Linked DNA regions of Canis lupus familiaris. The protein of the gene in region 5 purifies or fractionates together with the protein of the main gene of each other region. This does not show direct contact. Links are inferred from orthologs where the notes say so. Each region holds a gene or a part of one and is shown on either strand. Other genes may lie near its edges.

Region 1 (3,515 bases), on a different chromosome or scaffold from region 5:
TTGCAGGCACACAGCACCCCGGGGTGAAGGGCGAGCAGAGGCCTTCCCACTGCCCAGTCCTCACCCGGAGACCTTGGATGCCACTCCCCGGGTCCTGGCCAGGGTCCCCCCCTCCTTTCCCAGCCTGGACACTCAGCCTTTGTCTCCCTCTGTTTCCTTATCTTGGCCTGTCCTAGGGTAGGCTGCCCTTGGTGCTTGGGTGCTCATTGGTCATTGGGGCTTGCCAGACCCTACTGGTGACACCAGGGGCCAGGGGAGTATTCTGGGGACAATGCTGCCTTCTGTCCTCACCTCGGCTTTCTCTGGTCTCTCAGCCTGGCGCCCTACCGTCCCCTGGGCCCCGGGTTCCTTGTGACCCAGTTATCTGTCCTCAGCCCTACCTGGGCTGGCTGCCCTGCTGGGGCCCCTCCAGAGTGAAGCGGGGAAGGGGTCGCCCAGACCCAGGCTGGAGAGGCCGCGAGGTCTTACCGTCGCTTCCTGCAGGCATCAACCCAGCGTCACTCCGAGGGACACGCACCGGTGTCTGGGTGGGCGTGAGTGGCTCTGAGGCCTCAGAGGCCCTCAGCCGAGACCCCGAGACCCTCTTGGGCTACAGCATGGTGGGCTGCCAGCGCGCCATGATGGCCAACCGCCTCTCCTTCTTCTTTGATTTTAAAGGTGGGTACCCCCCAGCCCCTCTGGGCCTCTGGTTCCCCCAGGAAGGCTGGTCAAGGCCAAGGGGTCAGCGTCCCGGACTCGCAGTGGAGGGCCCCCCACTAGAGCCGCCAGGGCCCCACATTGTACTCCTGCTCGCAGGGCCCAGCGTCGCTCTAGACACGGCCTGCTCCTCCAGCCTGATGGCTCTGCACAGCGCCTACCAGGCCATCCGCAGCGGGGAGTGCCCGTGTGCCATCGTGGGTGGCATTAACATCCTGCTCAAGCCCAACACTTCTGTACAGTTCATGAAGCTGGGTATGCTGAGTCCAGAGGGCATCTGCAAGTCCTTCGATGAGGCTGGTGAGTGGTGGGCCAGGGGGACCAGGGGGGCCACGGCACCTGCCCTGCCGCCCCAGAGCCCCTGGGCCTGATGTGCCGTCTGCTCCCAGGAGCCGGCTACTGCCGGGCGGAGGCCGTGGTGGCCATGCTGCTGACCAAGAAGTCCCTGGCCCGGCGAGTGTACGCTACCATCCTGAATGCCGGCACCAACACGGATGGCTTCAAGGAACAAGGTGGGTGCCCCCCTCCCCTGGCCGGGCCAGCCGGGGTCGTGGCTTGGGGGCTGAGGTCTGGCTCCTCCCGCAGGTGTGACCTTCCCCTCCGGGGAGGTACAAGAGCAGCTCATCCGCTCCCTGTACGAGCCGGCGGGGCTGGCCCCGGAGTCCCTCGAGTACATCGAAGCCCACGGCACAGGCACCAAGGTGAGAGCCCGCCCCCGCCCCCACGCCCCCCGCCCAAGAGGCACCCGGGTGGGCCTTGATCCTCCCCTCGCCCTCCATAGGTGGGCGACCCCCAGGAGCTGAACAGCATCGACCGAGCCCTTTGCAGCACCCGCCGGGAGCCCCTGCTGATCGGGTCCACAAAGTCCAACATGGGGCACCCAGAGCCCGCCTCGGGGCTCGCGGCTCTGGCCAAGGTCAGCAGGCTGCTGTGGAGCCATCCTTCCTGGCAGGCGGGGAGGGTTCCCACGGGCTGTGCTGAGGCATGCCGGCCTCTGGTGCCCTGCGGGGCCCACACTCGGCCAGAGTGGGTGGCAGTGGCCACAACAGCCCCAGCAGGTGGCCGGGTCCTGGGGAGACCGTGCACTGGCAGCTTCTGGCTTCCTGGGGCTGCTGTAACCTGCTTGCAGTTCCTGCGAGAACCAGGACCTGGAGTGGGCTGCGGGGAGGCGGGGCGGTGTGGGGTGTGGTTTGGCCACTGGGTCCTGGGGCTGTGGCAGGGTGAGGCCGGGGGACGGAGTGCGTGGTGGCAGGCAGCAGGGTAGGGAGCACAGGGCCGGCTGCCCCGCCAACTGCGAGCCCCCCGCAGGTGCTGCTGTCTCTGGAACACGGGCTCTGGGCTCCCAACCTGCACTTCCACAGCCCGAACCCTGAGATCCTGGCACTCCAGGATGGGCGGCTACAGGTGGTGGACCGGCCCCGGCCGGTCCGCGGAGGCAACGTGGGCATCAACTCCTTCGGCTTTGGCGGCTCCAATGTGCACGTCGTCCTCCAGCCCAACACGCGGCCACCCAGGCCGACCACCCCACACATCACTTTGCCCCGTCTGCTGCGGGCCAGCGGGCGGACCCCAGAGGCCGTGCGGTGCCTGCTGGAAAAGGGCCAGCAGCACAGCCGGGACGTGGCCTTCGTGACCATGCTCAATGACATCGCGGCCAGCTCCCCCTCCGCCATGCCCTTCCGGGGCTACACTGTGCTGGGCAGCGAGGACGGCAGCCACGAGGTGCAGGAGGTGCAGCAGCTGCCTGCCGGCCGGCGTCCCCTCTGGTTCATCTGCTCTGGTGCGAACCCTGCTCCCCAGGCCCTCCCCGGAGGGGGAGCAGTGGCTGCAGCTGGCCGGCCACCACCCTGACACCTCTCTCTGCAACAGGGATGGGTGCACAGTGGCGCTGCATGGGGTCGAGCCTCTTGCGCCTGAGCAGCTTCCACAATTCCATCCTGCGCTCCAGTGAGGCCCTGAGGCCCCTGGGCCTACAGCTGTCTGAGCTGCTGCTGAGCACAGACGAGACCACTTTTGACGACATCGTCCATGCCTTCGTGAGCCTCACCGCCATCCAGGTGCGCCCATGGGGTCTAGGGGCTGTTGTGACAGTGCTGGGGGCCAGCCTGGCATCCCCAGAACAGGTGTGACCCATCACGTCCCCATTCCTCGCAGATTGCCCTCATAGACCTGCTGACCTCCATGGGCCTGCGACCCGACGGCATCATCGGGCACTCCCTGGGGGAGGTGGCCTGCGGCTACGCAGATGGCTGCCTTTCTCAGGAGGAGGCCGTCCTCACTGCCTACTGGAGGGGCCAGTGCATCAAGGAGGCCAGCATCCCACCAGGGGCCATGGCAGCCGTGGGTAGGTGTCCCCTCTGGGCCCCCCCTTTCCACACCTCCCACCAACCCAGGAGCCCTTGGGGTGGGGGTGTCATCTCTGGCGTTCCTCGTGTTCACCCTGGGCAGTGGCCGGGGGTCTCGGGGAGCTCCATCGGCCACCGTCCTCACTGCAGGGTGCCCGGTGGCCCCCCCGGCCCCTGCCCACTCAGCGGTCAGCATCAGTCCACACTGCTGCTCTTCCTACCAACTGGGCTAAAGCCATGTGGGGCATGAACAGCACCCCTCCCCGCACTAGAAGATGTAGGGTGTCGGGTGCACTGGCCCTGGCCCCCTTCCATTGGCACCTGCCCCCCAGGGGCTGCAGGAGAAGCAGTAGGCTAGGCCGGGGACAGGAGGGACACCTCCCAGAGCCACCACCCCAGGGACTGGTTGGGGTGGGCTGTCCTCACTGCAGCAGGACCCGGCTCCCCGCCTGTGGGACGACAGGGGAGACACCT
Region 2 (4,256 bases), on a different chromosome or scaffold from region 5:
TAGGAGCTTCCTAAGTGCGGAGTGAGCTGGGGCCACAGGGCAGCGGGACCTGCGGGGCCGGAGGGACGCGCTCGCTGGGTCTCTGGGGCGGCCGCGAGCCCTGTCTGGGGCCGGTCCCCGCGCGGGGAGCTAGAGGGGATGCGCCCGGGTCCCGGCAGGTGGCTGCGGGCGCCCCTTCTCCCCGAGCAGAGGCGCTCCGGGCGCTCCACTCCCAAACTGTCTGCAGAACTTCACGGGAGACCACGAGCCTGGAACGAGAGCCGGCCGGGGCGTCTGTGTCTCCTTACACACCGCTCATGGTGCCCAACAGAGGGCCCAACGAAGCCCCGAGAGACGTGGACAGGACCGGGCTGGCGCGCCGCCGAGCCCCAGCAGAGCTTCGGGAAGCCGCGGGCGGGCGTGCGGGCGGGCGTGCAGGGGTCTGGCAAGCCGCCCCTCGGAGACGCCAGGGCAGCCCCACAGCGCGGCCGATCGGAGGCCGGATGGCAGCGGCGGTGACGCGCAGGATGTTGCACTGAGCCCCGAGCGGGGCGCAGACCTCCCAGGCTGCGGCGCGTCGGCAGCTACGGCCGGGAAGACCTCGGCGAGCGGGGCCCGCGGCCGGCCTGGGCCCCCGGCACTTGCCACCAGCAGCCGGCGGCGCAGACCCGTGTTCTCGGGCTCCGCGGCGGCTCTCACGTGCGACCTCTCCAGCGACCTTAGGAAGGTCCCCTCAACTGTCCCACCGGAGTGCTGACTAATGCTGAGAGCCAGCCAGTGCCCTTAGGCCGCCACATGGAAATTAGAAAAAAAAAAAAAAAAAGTTGCCCTAAGAGGAAGAAAAAAAACCCCAAGCAACGGGAACTTTCGCACTTGGTTTCCCTAGAGCCAAACGGTGCAGAAAAGGCGGGAGAGGGGGACTCAGGGGCTAGACCCAACAAGCGAGGGAAAGAAAGGACAGAGGACTGGAGCCCGGGGCCGGAGCGCCTCGGAACCGTCCCCGGAGGGCACGGCGGCCCTGGGGCTCGGTCTCCTTGGCGCAGTCCCACCCCCGCGTCAATCAGACCCTTCCCGCTTTGCGATTGGCCGGGGGCTCCCTTGGCCTCCCCGGCGCCCACCTCCTAGCTGCTTGGGGTTTACTTCCCCAAAGTACACGGGCCCCACCTTGTGGAGCAACCGCTCCTGCACGGACAACGGATCTCCGCCCAGGGGAAACACATCTTGACGAATGGGAGCGGCCCCACGCATTCATTGGCTGCTCTGGACATCACTCAAAGGACTCCCCGCCCTCCTTTCGACGTCCCGCGAAGTGATTGGCCGCCCTCCGTGCCAATCCGTTACTAGGGAAACGAGATCCTCAGAGTCTCATAGGCAGGAGTCAAAGCCAATCAAGAGCCACGCCTTCACCCCGAGTCAGTGCCCAATCGCTGCTCGAAGAGCGCAGAGGACGCAGTTGGGATTGGTCAGCCGGCTGCTCGACCTGGCCGCAGCAAGTTAGGCTGAGGCACGGTTATATAGACCGGCGACGGAGCACGCGTGTGTGCGGACGCAGTTGCGTGAGGGGATTTCGCCTTCCGCCGTGCCGTGGAGCAGAGCTTGTTCCTCTCCCTCTCAGCCGCGCAGGTACGCCCGGGTGTGGGTGTGGGCGGGGCGGGGCAGGGCGGCCCCGGGGCCGAGACGAGCCGGGGCGCCTGAGAGAGAAGTCCGGGCGGCGGCGGCGGCGGCGCGGTGGTGGTGGTGGCGGCGGTGGTGGCGGTGGTGGCCTCCGCGCGAGGCGTGCGCACCGCCCCCCCCAACGGCCGCAGGCGGGCGCCCGGGCGCGCGGAGTTTCCCCGCCCCCTCCGCGCCGCGCTCTCACCGGTCGGCGCGCGTGGCCGTGTCCGCGTCCGCCGCATGCGCGTGCCACGCCCAACGGTCGCGCGGGCCGGGAGCGAGCGGCGGCCGCCGCCCGGGCCCCAGGGCCGTGTCGGGAGCCCGGGGCCCCGCGCGGCCTGCTCGCCGGCCTCTCCCGCTGCCGCGCGCCCGCAGAGTCCCCGCCCCCCCCCCGCCCCCGCCCCGCTCCCGGCGAGGGGCTGCGGCCCGGGCCGGCCCGGGAGCGCGAGGAGGCTTGGGCTTGGGAAGCAGAAGTGCTGCTGCTCCCGGGTTTTACAGGGAGTGGAAGGGGGGAGCGGCGAAGGCGCGGAGGATGCGTGGAAGGAGTAACCGCTCTTTTTTCTGAGCCGGGCCCTGTGCTGAGCAACTTGGGTGGCTCTCCTGTACTCCACGGCGGTCCGGCGAGGTAGGTGCGGCGAGTTGCCTTTTTTGCAGTGGATCCGGACGTCCAGAGGCGGAGAGACGCGGTCCCCGGCGCGCCGACGGTAAGGGGCAGGCAGCGGGGGCCCCCGGGCCGCGTGACCGCCGGGCCCCCGGCCTGTTTGCGTCCTGGAGCCGGTGCCCTCGGAGGGAGCACTGGTCCCCGGGGAGGCCAGCGCGGCGGCATCTGTGCTGGGGCCGCTTGTGGGCTTGCAGGGAGGCGCGGCGACAAAGGACACGGAGGGCTTTGGGCTTGCGGTCCGCGTGTGAGCGCACGGCCAGCTGATGGATGCGCCGCCCGCGGAGCTTCCGGAGAAAGGCGGCGCGGAAGTGCCGGCGAGCGCGGCCCGGGCTCCTGCGCAGATTTGTTAACTCGCCCCGCGACGGTGGGAAATCCCCGGCGGCCGCGGGCGTCAGGCTCTGCGCTGACACCTTAGACCTTTTTCGTCTTTTCTTGACCGAGGCAGACTTTTGAGAAAGACCGTCCGTGAGATAGTTCAAAACTTGCTCGTTTTGTCGTTGGACAACATGCGGGGCCGAGCGGGGGGTTTGTTCAGATGGGTGGGTTGAAATGTGAAGTCGGGGTGGAAAGGACGGTGCCCGGCTACAATATGAATTAAGTCTCTGGAGCTTATGCTCGGTGAATTATGAGTGATTGAGGTGTGTTAGGAATCGTGCCCTTGGGGCTAAAGTCGGAATCTTCTGTGGGTGAAAGCCTCTCTACGTTCATTTCGTTTGTTTACCGTTTACTGTTCGGCTCCCGCGTGTAGTATATGCGAGTATGGAACACACCTTCAGAGGGGAGCTTATATATTTGCGATTTCTAAAAGCCATTATGCTCCCTGTCTTAATAAAATAGTTACAGGTCCAGACCATTACTTGACATCACAAACGTCTCTACTTGAGGTAAAACTAACAAAAGTTTGGGCATTGGCTCTAATGAATTAATTTTGCTTGGAATGGCTTTCAACCTCTTATTTGTTTTTGGTTTTGTTTTTGTTTTTTTAAATATGTATTTATGATAGTCACAGAGAGAGAGAGAGAGGCAGAGACACAGGCAGAGGGAGAAGCAGGCTCCATGCACTCCCTCTTATTTGTTTTTTAAAGCCTTTAGGATTAGACTTTGAATAAGAATTTTTTGCAGACAGAGGGAACTTTAGCATTTACATCCTCCTCAGCAAACTAAAACACTACAAGGAAGCTTAATATTTGTAAGTGTTTCCATTTACCCGTACTTTCCATGTTTCTTAACAGAAAGTAGCAATAAAGGATCAAAATATTGTATGGTCCAAGTTCTTAATGTTTAGTTGGTATTGCTTTAGACTGTAACATTGTTTTACTTAAAACGTGCCTTCATGTAGCAATTCTAGTTACCTTTATTTAGATGGTCTTAACTATTGAGTTAGCATTTTAGGTTTCAAATTTTAAAACATAATAACATACATTTAAACTGTTAACTTGGAGTCCAGCTAATGGTGTTAGTGCTCAGGGTAAAATAGATTAGGATGACATTTGCTTGTGCCTTAATTGAGGAAGAATTTTGTTTCCCTTTCAGATATTTCTTAGCCTGTTCTTTGCCTCGCCTCCGGCCTCCATTGGGTAGGAATATGAAAACTGGTAATTTACAAATTGGTAGCCCAGTGTCTCTCCATGTATGGATTTATTAAGAACAAATGAAGCAGATTGTAATAATATGAGAGTAGCGTGCCTTCCTTCTTCCCAGCCAAGTCAGGTTACTTCTGTTATTGCTAAATCCTTTCTGTTTAGGCTTTTGTATTTCTGATAGAAAAGTAGGCAGTTCTTTGTTCTTTATTTAACTCACATTAGGTTTGCTGTTCTCAGCTGACAGTCTGCTAAGAGTGCATCAGAAGATTTGGTAATGTTTGTTGCTGACCTATTTTGCAGTAGTTCTTGTAATTTTCATTATTTGACTTGTTATAGTACTTTGAATAGAAAGTAAAGGGTAGAGGTTAGTTTAAGCTTTT
Region 3 (4,113 bases), on a different chromosome or scaffold from region 5:
AGGCTGTCTGTACTTTCACTTACCCTACTTCTAGTGTAAGCTCAAAAGCAGACAACCCAAGGCTGGGCACTTGCAACCACCATTTATCTGGGATGGCTCTGAAAAAACCTTAAATTGGGCCAGCAACAATTTGCTACAAGCTGAAAATATGTGGAAATGCCTGAATGACAAGTGTGTTTAGCCAAGTTTTTGCTACAGGCATCTGAATTTCCACTGGACCCGTATCGCTGAGCTCACAATTCTTTAAAATGCAAATGTAAAAAAAATGCAAATGTAAAATGCTGGACTGCTTGTTTCAGACTATCAGATAAGTGAGAGGGAAGCCACCACACCAAGGTGGTCAGGCTTCCTGGCCCACATCCTCTTTGTGTTCACGAAGTTCCTACTCCTCTCTCTCTCCTCTGTTCCTGTCCCTCTGCTGTTATGCTTTTAACCCTATGCCTACCACTCTTCCTATTTCTTCTTTTTTAAAAATTACCTTTTAAACCATACTCTCTTCCTTTTCTAATGCTTTTCAAAGCCCAGTGACCCTGTCTGATCTGATGGACCCACTTCCATCCCACCCCACCACCCCAGACTAAGGTAAGGACAGTCATGTGTCTACATCCCAAGTTCTTCTTTCCCAAGTGTTAACTTCTCTCCTTCCTTTAGAGCTCTTGCAGCTTTCCTCCTCCCTGCTACCCAGTCCCACAGCAAAGGCAGGCCAAAGAAGATGGACAACATGGTTTAGGTTGTCAGTGGAACTATCCACCTTCAACACCAAGACTCCTCCATCCCCACAACCTCCCCCAAGTACATAATGCCCATTGTAATGTGATGACTTTGCCTCAGTTCAGTTTCTGGGAAGACTCATAGCCTGAGGTGCCCTGACTTACCTCTCCACCCACGGGCAACACATTATGAGGCATCCCAGCATTCATTTCATTTGGTTTTATGAGCAGGTTATACAGGTAAGTAACTAAGGTGACATCCTCTCAAATGTTTCCCGGGATAAACCAGAAATCTAAGTTCAGGACTACACAAAGAATTTCAAAATGTACTTGTGACCATCTTGGCCTTGGCCAAATAATGAATCCAGTTAATATTTATAACTCTGAAACTGGATTATTAAAGTATTTTCTAGTTTTACTGAACTTTCCAGTAAGATTAAATCAATGGAAATGGAACATACATTCAGGAAAAGGTATGGACAAAGGGCTATTCTGAAATACTATATGTTTTATGGTGCCTACAAAATGTGGATGGAAATCTAAGAAAAACATTTCCCTATTTATTAACAGTACCAGCAATTATTTGCAAAGGCAGGCAATCTGGCCATTGGGCCATATCACATATGGCTTCATTTCCTAGGTGCTATGTCATCTTATTCCAAAAACAGCAAGTACTGAAAGTTTTGCATATTTTTTTTAATTTCTAGAAACAACAATAAATAGTTAATTGAACCTATTAGCTGTAAAATCCACTTGTCTGAAAATCAAATTACTGAGGAAAAGTGACTTTTTTCTTCCTCTAAAATATGGGGGAATATATGAAATTTTCTATTGCAGTCCTATTTCTCCACACAGAGAAATAAATCATACTAAAGTAACTTCAAAGACTACACAAAAAGTCCTTTTCTGAAATCTGATACTAAAAACAATCTAACAATCAGATTCATTACAAAAAAAAATCATTTAGCTCTTGGACTTGTTGGACAACAGTGCGTACAAGTTCCTCAAAGAAATAAGAAAAATATATAGGCTCTCTACTCCATACAATCTGTATTTGCATAGACATCATCTATCTGAACATTTGATGGCAAGCACCAGAGATAATACAGAGGGTTCTGTACTACCCAATACAAACTGCTGTCAACAGATGTTTGAGTGTTTCAATGTATTTTGATTTCAGTGAGAGCATATTTCGAGGTATTGGCATGATATACCTACAAACCAGTATTACTTGTAAAAGCCATTTCTGCCAAGATGATCTGAAAGATGTATGGTATTATTAGATATTTACACCTATTCATATCATAAATTCTACTTGATTCTAAAAGTACTTGCAATTATGTATAATTTCACATATAATTTAAAAAAATTTTTAACTGTAAAAAAAAGCAGATGCATCAGAATTTCCAGGTCCACATATTTCCTGTGAAAGACAATTAGATATAATTCTGAGCTCCCTAATAGCCAAAGCAATAAAAGGAAACATGATAAATTAGAATACTTTCTTATTTAGCTAAAAAGAAAACAAAACACAACCAAAAACCAAACACACACAAAAAAATCCTAGTTCTCTAGTTCTTCTGAAGAAAAGATTTCCCAGGTGCTAAATTAAAAACAACAAAGGTCTAAGTCCTAATCTAGAATAACTTCCTGATCACTGTAAGAAGCCCAAAACATAAGGATCATTTTTGACATGGCTGTAGCTTATGCCAATCATCACTAAAATGCCAGGGCATGACATTAAAACTCATGTATCATCATGACACTTACTACCACTGACACGCTAAGTATATAGCAGGATAAAACTCCAGTGTCACTAATGCCTGTCCAATTTTAATGTGATGCCAGAAAAGCTTCTAGAGCCATCACGTATCTGTCAAATTGAACTACTAGCAACAGCAAAAATAATGGGGAAGAAAAGGGGAATGCAGGGGGGGGAATGATTGTCTAAATGTTGTCCTCGTTGTCCTTAGATGTACAAGGAAAGAGAGTAGCACAGTTATCCAGAGAGATGTCTAATTTGCAAAAATTACACAAAGTGAAAATGATATACTTACATCACCCTCCAAGCTGAGCTTGCAGAGAATTTCGTGAACAGTAGACATTTTGAAGGAAGCTGGGGAAAAAAGTACAACAAATAGTATTGATGAAGAGGCTTCCTTTCCCCCGAAGCGCAGTGATTCATTATACTAATCTCTATTTCTTGGACCATTGCATCTGAGGATATTAGAGTAATTTTTGCAAATAGATGCAATTCCTATCTTATGATTGGGCAAATTAAAGCTGGGAAATGGTTTGTCTTAGTTTCGGATGGACTACAGAAGTAGCCATCCTGCTCTGTGTAAACAGAACCTGGGGAGACTGATTTGTGAATACAAAAACAAAATGCTTCCTCAAGGCTCATGCAACTTGTTCTAACAGGATAAAACTAAGTCTTCCACTTCTCATAAAAAGTGATAAGCTTGTCCAACCAGCACCTACTTCTGTATTTCTCACTAGCGATTAACCTTATTGAAAAGGACCCTGAAATCAATAGCCTTTGCAGGTTGGCCCATTCCTAAATAGAACCTTTATTACTACCTGTGATTATTTTCTTAGTTTACCAATGCTTAGAAGATATTGACAGTTTATGAAAAAGACCATGGAGATATTTTCTGACATTAACTCATTCCAGACTCTTCTTTTTAAGATTCAATAGGGCTAAAATGAAGTCATCTTCCAGTTAATACACTTAATCAGTCAGTGACACTATAGCCTGATGAATTGGCTTTCCAGCTTTGCAATCACACAGTTCTCGGAATTGATCTACCAACCTCTGCCAATGAAGAGTGCCCAAGTAGCAGGAAATCTATCTCAACTGAGACAAGATAGGTCATTCAGCATTATCACTCCCAAAATAAGAAAATAGAGCGGAACTGTATCCTGAAACAGTGGGATTGACGTCTGAATTACAGCATCTCCTGCTGTGGTCTCTTCTTGCTTAATATTTTTTCATCAAGGTAATTATGCCCATGCAAATTCAGCTTTCCATTCTCTTCCAACAGTTTGCATGGTCTAAATATTTTCATAAAACTGGCTTGGAGGGAATATTTGATGCAGACACTTGCTAACTTACAGGAACGCTTTCGACTAAGTAGATTCCAGGCTCCGTGTTGGATGGAGGTGGGGAAATGTAAGAAAAGAAGATTCGCCTTTATCTGTGCTTATGGATATATTTCTGCAAGATTTTCACCCTGAGCTAGCTCCTAGACCACCCCTCTCTCTTCTTAATGATCACAGAAGATTTTTAAGCACAGCAAAAAGAAAACCAAACCTATTCCAATTGCCCCCTTTCCTACAGCTCTCAGACATCCCCCACCTCGACTATGTCTCACCACTGGGATATAATCCTGATTGTAAAAGG
Region 4 (3,351 bases), on a different chromosome or scaffold from region 5:
GCCCCTTGAGGGCAGAGCTCAGATCTGACTCGTCTCTGGGTCCCAAGGCCTGGTCCACATGAAGTCTCCGGAAAAGGCTACAGAAATGCCCAGATCCTTTTCTTTTTGCTTCTCTCCAGGAAGACACATTAGAGGAGTTACTGGGTGACATGGTCTTGACCCCATTCCCAGATGAGGGGCCCTCGAGCCTGGTGGTGGTCCCAGAACAGACGCCTCCACTCTTGCTGAGCCCCACCATAGACCTCCCCGCTCCCTGCCCAAACTCAGAACCCCCTGAAAACCCGCTGAAGCGGCTCTTGGTGCCTGATGAAGGTGAGTGGCAGCTCTGGGGTGGGATGTGCTGGGGTGACAGGGCCCCTTATGCCCTCTCAATCTCACTCCCTCTTCATGTCACTTCTGCCACTGCCCAGAGTGGGAGTTCGAGGTGACTGCCTTCTATCGGGGCCGCCAAGTCTTCCAGCAGACAGTCTCCTGCCCAAGGGGCCTGCGGCTGGTGGCAGCAGCAGGAGGGGACACGATGCTGCCTGGACAGCCAATAATACTGCCAGACCCCGGGGTGTTGGTAACAGACAAGACCGTGATGGGCTACGTGAGGCGTGTACTGAGCTGCTTGGGTGGGGGACTAGCTCTGTGGAGGGCAGGACAGCAGCTCTGGGCACGGAGGCTGGGGCACTGCCACACATACTGGGCCCTGGGCGAGGAGCTTCTCCCTGACAGCAGTCCCAGGCCTGGCGGCGAGGTCCCCAAGGATGAAGATGGAGACCTGTTCGACCTGAGGCCCTTCGTGTCAGGTGAGGAGGCAAAGCCTTAGCTCTGCTGTAGAAAGAGGTGGTCACGGTGGTTAAGAACTCTGGGGTCTGGGAGTGCCTGGGTGGCTCAGTCGATGAACCATCTGACTCTTGATAGCAGCTTGGGTCATGACCTCAGGGTCACAAGATCAAGCCGAGTCTGGCTCTGCACTGGGTGTGGAGCCTGCTTAAGGTTCTCGCTCTCTGCCTCCCCCTGGTCCCCACTCTCCTTACATCCTCCTCTCTCTAAAAACAAAAAAATTTTCAAACCTCCAAACCCCAGAGTTCTTTTTTTTTTTTTTTAAAGATTTTATTTATTTATTCATGAGAGACACACAGAGAGAGGCAGAGACACAGGCAGAGGGAGAAGCAGGCTCCACGCAGGGAGCTTGATGCGGAACCCAGTCCCAGGACTTCAGGATCACACCCTAGGCTGAGGGCAGGCACTAAACCACTGAGCCACCCAGAGATCCCCCAAACCCCAGAGTTCTAATTCAGACCCTGCTGCTCTGCTTGTGCTATAACCTGAGGCAAGAGATGGACTGCTCTGAGTCTGTCAGAGGACTGTCTCCTCTGCTAGAGCTGGTAGGAGGCACAGGGCCCAGTGCACAGAAGGTGCTCAAGGAATTAACTGCCATCGTCCTCATTATTACCAGTTAGTAGGGTGGATAGACAGATGCAGGACAGAGAAGTCCTTTAGGGCTTTGTTATCCAGTAAATATCTCTGCAGGGATGGAAATGCTCTAGAGTTGAACTGTCCGGTGTGGTATCCACCAGCCACGTGTGGCTATTGAGTACTTAGGCCAATGCAACTGAGGAAGAGAGTTTGAACTTTTATTTGATTTTAATTAATTACCATTTAAATGGAAATAGCCACAGTGGCTAGTGGCCACTATCAGGAGATTGTGGCCTTAGGGGGTTAAAGAGCAGAAACTGCCAACTACCTTGTATTCCAGAATCAGGGGACATCCTTGTAGGGAGTGTACTCCTATCCCAAATGGTGGGGGGGGGGGGGGGGGGGCGGGGATGGGGGGAAACATTTAAGATTATGCCAGGACTTTTCTTAGATCAGCAGCCATCTGGTCGAGGTGTTGTAGGCATGTTGGGCTTCTGGTCAAGGAAGAAGGTGAGGCTGTTAGTCAAGTTTGGGGGCAGGGAGGGGCAGGTGGAGGGTCCTCTTCCCATGCCTGACTAGGATCTCGGACCCCCAGATCTGATTGCCTTCATCAAAGGAAGCCGACACTCACCACGCTACACCCTCTGGTTCTGTGTGGGGGAGCCATGGCCCCAAGACCAGCCGTGGACCAAGAAGCTGGTGATGCTCAAGGTGCAGCATTTCTGGGCTCCTGGAGCTAAGGGGTGGATCTTAACAAAGGGAAGAGAAACTACAATTCCTAGAAGCCCCTCTGGGAAACTACAACTTCCAAGAGTCTTTGCAACCACCAGTTCCTCATCCCCAGGAGCTTCTGGGTGTCCTTCTCATGGCCCCTCACCCCCAAAACCTGTTTTGAACTCTCAAAACCATGTGGAAGTCAGTGGAATACAAGTCCTAGCAGCCTTTTTAAGGAACTACAGCTCTTAAGGGGTCCTTCTGACCACAGCTGCTGAGTGGGATCCCTACATTCCAGGAACCCCTCCAGCATCTCAGCCCTAGTAAACTTACCAGGCCTCCCATGGTGGGAGTTACAGAGAAAACAATAATTCCCAGCAGCCCTAGGCCTAATGGTTATTCCTGGTTTATGGTGGGGGCTGCTGGAAGTTGTAGTCCACTCAACCCCACCTTATTTCTGCCCCCCACCTCCTGTAGGTTGTTCCCACGTGCCTTAGGGCCCTGCTGGAAATGGCACGGTTAGAGGGCGCTTCCTCCCTGGAGAACACTGTGGACCTGCACATTTCCAACAGCTACCCACTCACTCTCACCTCGGACCAGTACAAGGCGTACCTCCAGGACCTGGTTGAGGACATGGATTTCTGGGTCACTGGGGAGGTCTGACCCCTCCTCACCGGTGCTGCCTTCTTGTGCCTTCACCCTGGCCAATAAACTGTTTCTTGCCACTGTTACCACTTGTGTGCCTGGTGTTAGGGGTTAGCTAGGTCCAGGCTAGCCCTGATGTGGGCTAGGCATTATTCCTTGGCAAGCAACTCACAACCCAGATGCTTACAGCATGAGGACCAGACACTGCAGGGAGCCGCTGATACCTGTCACCTCCTGACCTCCTTCCAGGGACCTGGTGAGGAGGGGACAGTCACCTCCATTTTACAGACCAAGACACTGATGCTTAGAGAAGAGCAAAGGTTATAAAGCAAGACAGGAGACACAAGATGGGTTAGAATCCAGTCTGACTGCAGGGTTGCTACTTTCTGATCGGGGCCCCAGGGTAGAATCTAGAACCCCAGTTTTGGCTATGAACAGTTGAGGCCACTGATTGTTCAGTCCAGTAAGCTGGATCAGCCTGTTGGCTGGTGGGGGGGGGGGGGGACTTAGGCCCCCTCCCAGCTCCTGCTGGGTGACCTCAGGCAGGTCCTCCGGTCCCAGCCAGCTGTGGGCTCCCCTCTGCATGGG
Region 5 (2,747 bases):
AAGAGCCATGTGAGACCAGCTGCATGGGCAAGACTCCTTGGGGTTCCTTACAGAAGTAATTCCATCTGTATCAGGTGCCTAACCTGTAAAATGAAACAGAATGTGCTTGCTTGCGTCAGGGGGCTTCAGGGGGCCCATGTAACCAGGAGGGCCTGGATAGGAACTATGTCCTATATCTTCTTGCCTCCCACCCCCAAGGATCCTAACACAGGTGCTTATAAATTTGCATTAAATTGTTACCTACAAAGGAGGTTATAGTGTCAGGGCTCAGGAGGGTGGGGCAGGAGATGGAGACAAGGTCTGTAACTGTTTGCCCCAGGACTGAGGCTTGGAACCTGAAGGAGCTGGACATTACCTCCCCGGGTCTGAGGAGTGTGTGCCTCGTGCCAGGGCTAAAGACGATGCTGAGGACGTATGGAGGTGAGACTAGCCCCAGGAGTGTGGGACTGGGGAATGAAGTGGGTGATGAGGGTGGAGAGTGAGTCCCTGGCAGGTCAGGGTAGGTGAGGCAGGGACAGAGAGGTGGTTCCCTCAAAGGTCAGGCCTGAAGGTTATTTTCTCCCACAGTGCGGCTCATGGTCACCCTCATCCTTACCCCCACCACAGGCCCAGGGCTCCTGCTTCCCCTTCCTCTCCCAGCCTGACCGTGGGCTTCTCTCTGCAGTACACATCACCCTGGATCCACACACAGCCAATCCATGGCTCATCCTTTCAGAGGATCGGAGACAAGTGAGGCTTGGAGACAGCCAGCAGGAAGTGCCTGAAAATGAAAGCAGATTTGACATGTATCCCATGGTCCTGGGAGCCCAGTGCTTTGACTCTGGAAAGGCTTACTGGGAGGTGGATGTGAGAGGAAAAGAGGCCTGGGACCTGGGTGTTTGTACAGATTCTGCACAGAGGAAGGGGCACTTTTTGCTCAGCCCTGGGAACGGCTTCTGGACAATTTGGCTGTGGAACAAACAAAAATATGAGGCTGGCACCTGTCCCCAGACTCCCCTCCACCTTCAGGTGCCTCCATGCCAAGTTGGGATCTTCTTGGACTGTGAGGCCCACACAGTCTCCTTCTACAACATCACTGACCATGGCTCCCTCATCTATACCTTCTCTGAATGTGCCTTTGCTGGACCTCTGCGGCCTTTCTTTGGTACTGGTTTTAATGATGCAGGAAGAAACGCAGCACCTCTTGTGCTCTGTCCGCTGGAGGTGGGATCGTAGGGATCCATGGAGCAGTGGTAGCACTCTCTGAACACCGACTGTTGGTGTCTTTCTCAGCCATTGACTCTGCCCCATTTCCCCAGGAACTCTGAACCACTTTGTTTCTGTAGAGGTGTCGGGATACCAGCAAGCAGATTGTGGCAGGGAATTCACTGAAAATCTACATAAAATGATTTTCAACATCAGTATTGAATGATTACTGCCCTAGATTACTGCCCTACATTACTTTGACTCCCTCCATGAAACAAACTACTTATGTTGGGCCCAAATCACCTGGATCAACCAAAACATGTCTCTGCCATCTTTATGTGACCCAAGTCTTGTTTTCTCCTCTCCATCTCTAGGCCTTTGGTAAGATCTCTTATACACCTTGCATGGCTTGCAAAGGGGACTCCTAAATGTATTGGGTCTTGATCTATCACATTCAATCCTTGTTCTTGTATACATTTAGGATTACTGTTCCAACATAAACATATCAGAGCATAAGTAGCTCCATACCTATTAAAAAAAAAAGAAAGCAGCCATCCTTTAAAAATAAAGCCTGAATGATGCATGCCTTAGATTTCCACATTACATTTCCAGCCCCTGTGCTCCCCCATCCCTACCATGCTCTCCCAACCATGTCCTGTAGATAATGGAGTTGGCCAAAAGGTGTATCAATCTAAATGGAAGGCAGGATGGATTTTTTTATGTCAGTTTGGCTAGGCCATAAGCCCCCAGTTTTTCAATGTTTCTGTGAAGGTATTTTGTAGATGTCATTAAAGTCCATAATTGTTTGATTTTAAGGGAGACTCTCCTGGATAAGGTGGGTAGGCCTAATCCAATCAAGTGAAAGACCTTAAGAGCAGAACTAAAAGTTCACTGAAGACGACCCTCCTACCAATAGCAGCTTCAGCTCCTGCCACAGTTACAGCCTGCCCTTCCTGTTGCCTGGCCCTGTGGATTTAGGACCTGCCTTGCCAAACGCCACAAGTGCATAAGCGAATTCCTTACAATAAATCTCTTCATATTTATCTCCTACCAGTTCTGCTTCTTTGGCAAACTGATTGGTGTGAATGTCAGAACTGCAGTAACAGTATCACCTGTTGATAGCAAACACTCTTGTGTTTAAGCTTTTACAGTTGGAAGAAGTGCTATACACAGCCCTGAGAGTACAGCTATCCTTCCAGCAACCAGAGTGTCTAAAATAGAATCTCAGGTGAAGAAGCTGGGAAGATGGCAGAGGAGGAAGACCCTAAGCTCACCTCATCCCATGGATACAACTAGATAACACCCACATCAGTGTAAATAACCCAGAAAATGACCCGAAGACTGGCAGAACAAACCACAAGTAAAGATAGAAAAGAGGCCACATTGACAAGGGTAGGGAAGGGTGGAAATATGTCCAGGAGCTAGATGGACCACGGACCACCTGCAGGAGTAAGGGATCTGCTGGAGCAGAGAAGGGCAAGAAGCAAACTATCACACCAGGGAACCTGCACAGGGAAGATCAATCCGCATAACCTTTGACTTCAATAACTAGAAGGGCTGAA

What was found.
Region 1: the proteins of TRIM21 (region 5) and FASN purify together in Homo sapiens (affinity purification with western blotting; 3 studies listed by BioGRID, with this or other methods). This does not show direct contact. The link is inferred for Canis lupus familiaris from reciprocal best matches to the Homo sapiens genes TRIM21 and FASN.
Region 2: the proteins of TRIM21 (region 5) and G3BP1 purify together in Homo sapiens (affinity purification with mass spectrometry; 3 studies listed by BioGRID, with this or other methods). This does not show direct contact. The link is inferred for Canis lupus familiaris from reciprocal best matches to the Homo sapiens genes TRIM21 and G3BP1.
Region 3: the proteins of TRIM21 (region 5) and ANXA2 purify together in Homo sapiens (affinity purification with western blotting; 3 studies listed by BioGRID, with this or other methods). This does not show direct contact. The link is inferred for Canis lupus familiaris from reciprocal best matches to the Homo sapiens genes TRIM21 and ANXA2.
Region 4: the proteins of TRIM21 (region 5) and IRF3 purify together in Homo sapiens (affinity purification with western blotting; 3 studies listed by BioGRID, with this or other methods). This does not show direct contact. The link is inferred for Canis lupus familiaris from reciprocal best matches to the Homo sapiens genes TRIM21 and IRF3.

What each region holds. Positions count from the first base shown.
Region 1 is NC_049230.1:1,059,700-1,063,214, forward strand, and holds part of FASN (fatty acid synthase), read left to right. Parts: exon of another isoform or gene 1-483; coding exon 484-657; exon of another isoform or gene 658-708; intron 709-795; coding exon 796-996; intron 997-1,085; coding exon 1,086-1,208; intron 1,209-1,281; coding exon 1,282-1,397; intron 1,398-1,477; coding exon 1,478-1,612; intron 1,613-2,004; coding exon 2,005-2,476; intron 2,477-2,565; coding exon 2,566-2,753; intron 2,754-2,850; coding exon 2,851-3,040; intron 3,041-3,515. UniProt on the Homo sapiens protein: Fatty acid synthetase is a multifunctional enzyme that catalyzes the de novo biosynthesis of long-chain saturated fatty acids starting from acetyl-CoA and malonyl-CoA in the presence of NADPH.
Region 2 is NC_049225.1:58,443,101-58,447,356, reverse strand, and holds the start of G3BP1 (ras GTPase-activating protein-binding protein 1), read left to right. Parts: upstream 1-1,447; 5' UTR 1,448-1,602; intron 1,603-2,105; exon of another isoform or gene 2,106-2,257; intron 2,258-2,313; exon of another isoform or gene 2,314-2,336; intron 2,337-4,256. UniProt on the Homo sapiens protein: Protein involved in various processes, such as stress granule formation and innate immunity. Plays an essential role in stress granule formation.
Region 3 is NC_049251.1:25,617,988-25,622,100, forward strand, and holds the start of ANXA2 (annexin A2), read right to left. Parts: upstream 2,816-4,113; coding exon 2,768-2,815; intron 1-2,767. UniProt on the Homo sapiens protein: Calcium-regulated membrane-binding protein whose affinity for calcium is greatly enhanced by anionic phospholipids. It binds two calcium ions with high affinity. May be involved in heat-stress response.
Region 4 is NC_049222.1:107,553,110-107,556,460, forward strand, and holds the end of IRF3 (interferon regulatory factor 3), read left to right. Parts: intron 1-119; coding exon 120-312; intron 313-410; coding exon 411-791; intron 792-1,999; coding exon 2,000-2,115; intron 2,116-2,595; coding exon 2,596-2,781; 3' UTR 2,782-2,849; downstream 2,850-3,351.
Region 5 is NC_049242.1:26,901,280-26,904,026, reverse strand, and holds the end of TRIM21 (E3 ubiquitin-protein ligase TRIM21), read left to right. Parts: intron 1-319; coding exon 320-420; intron 421-664; coding exon 665-1,215; 3' UTR 1,216-2,233; downstream 2,234-2,747. UniProt on the Homo sapiens protein: E3 ubiquitin-protein ligase whose activity is dependent on E2 enzymes, UBE2D1, UBE2D2, UBE2E1 and UBE2E2.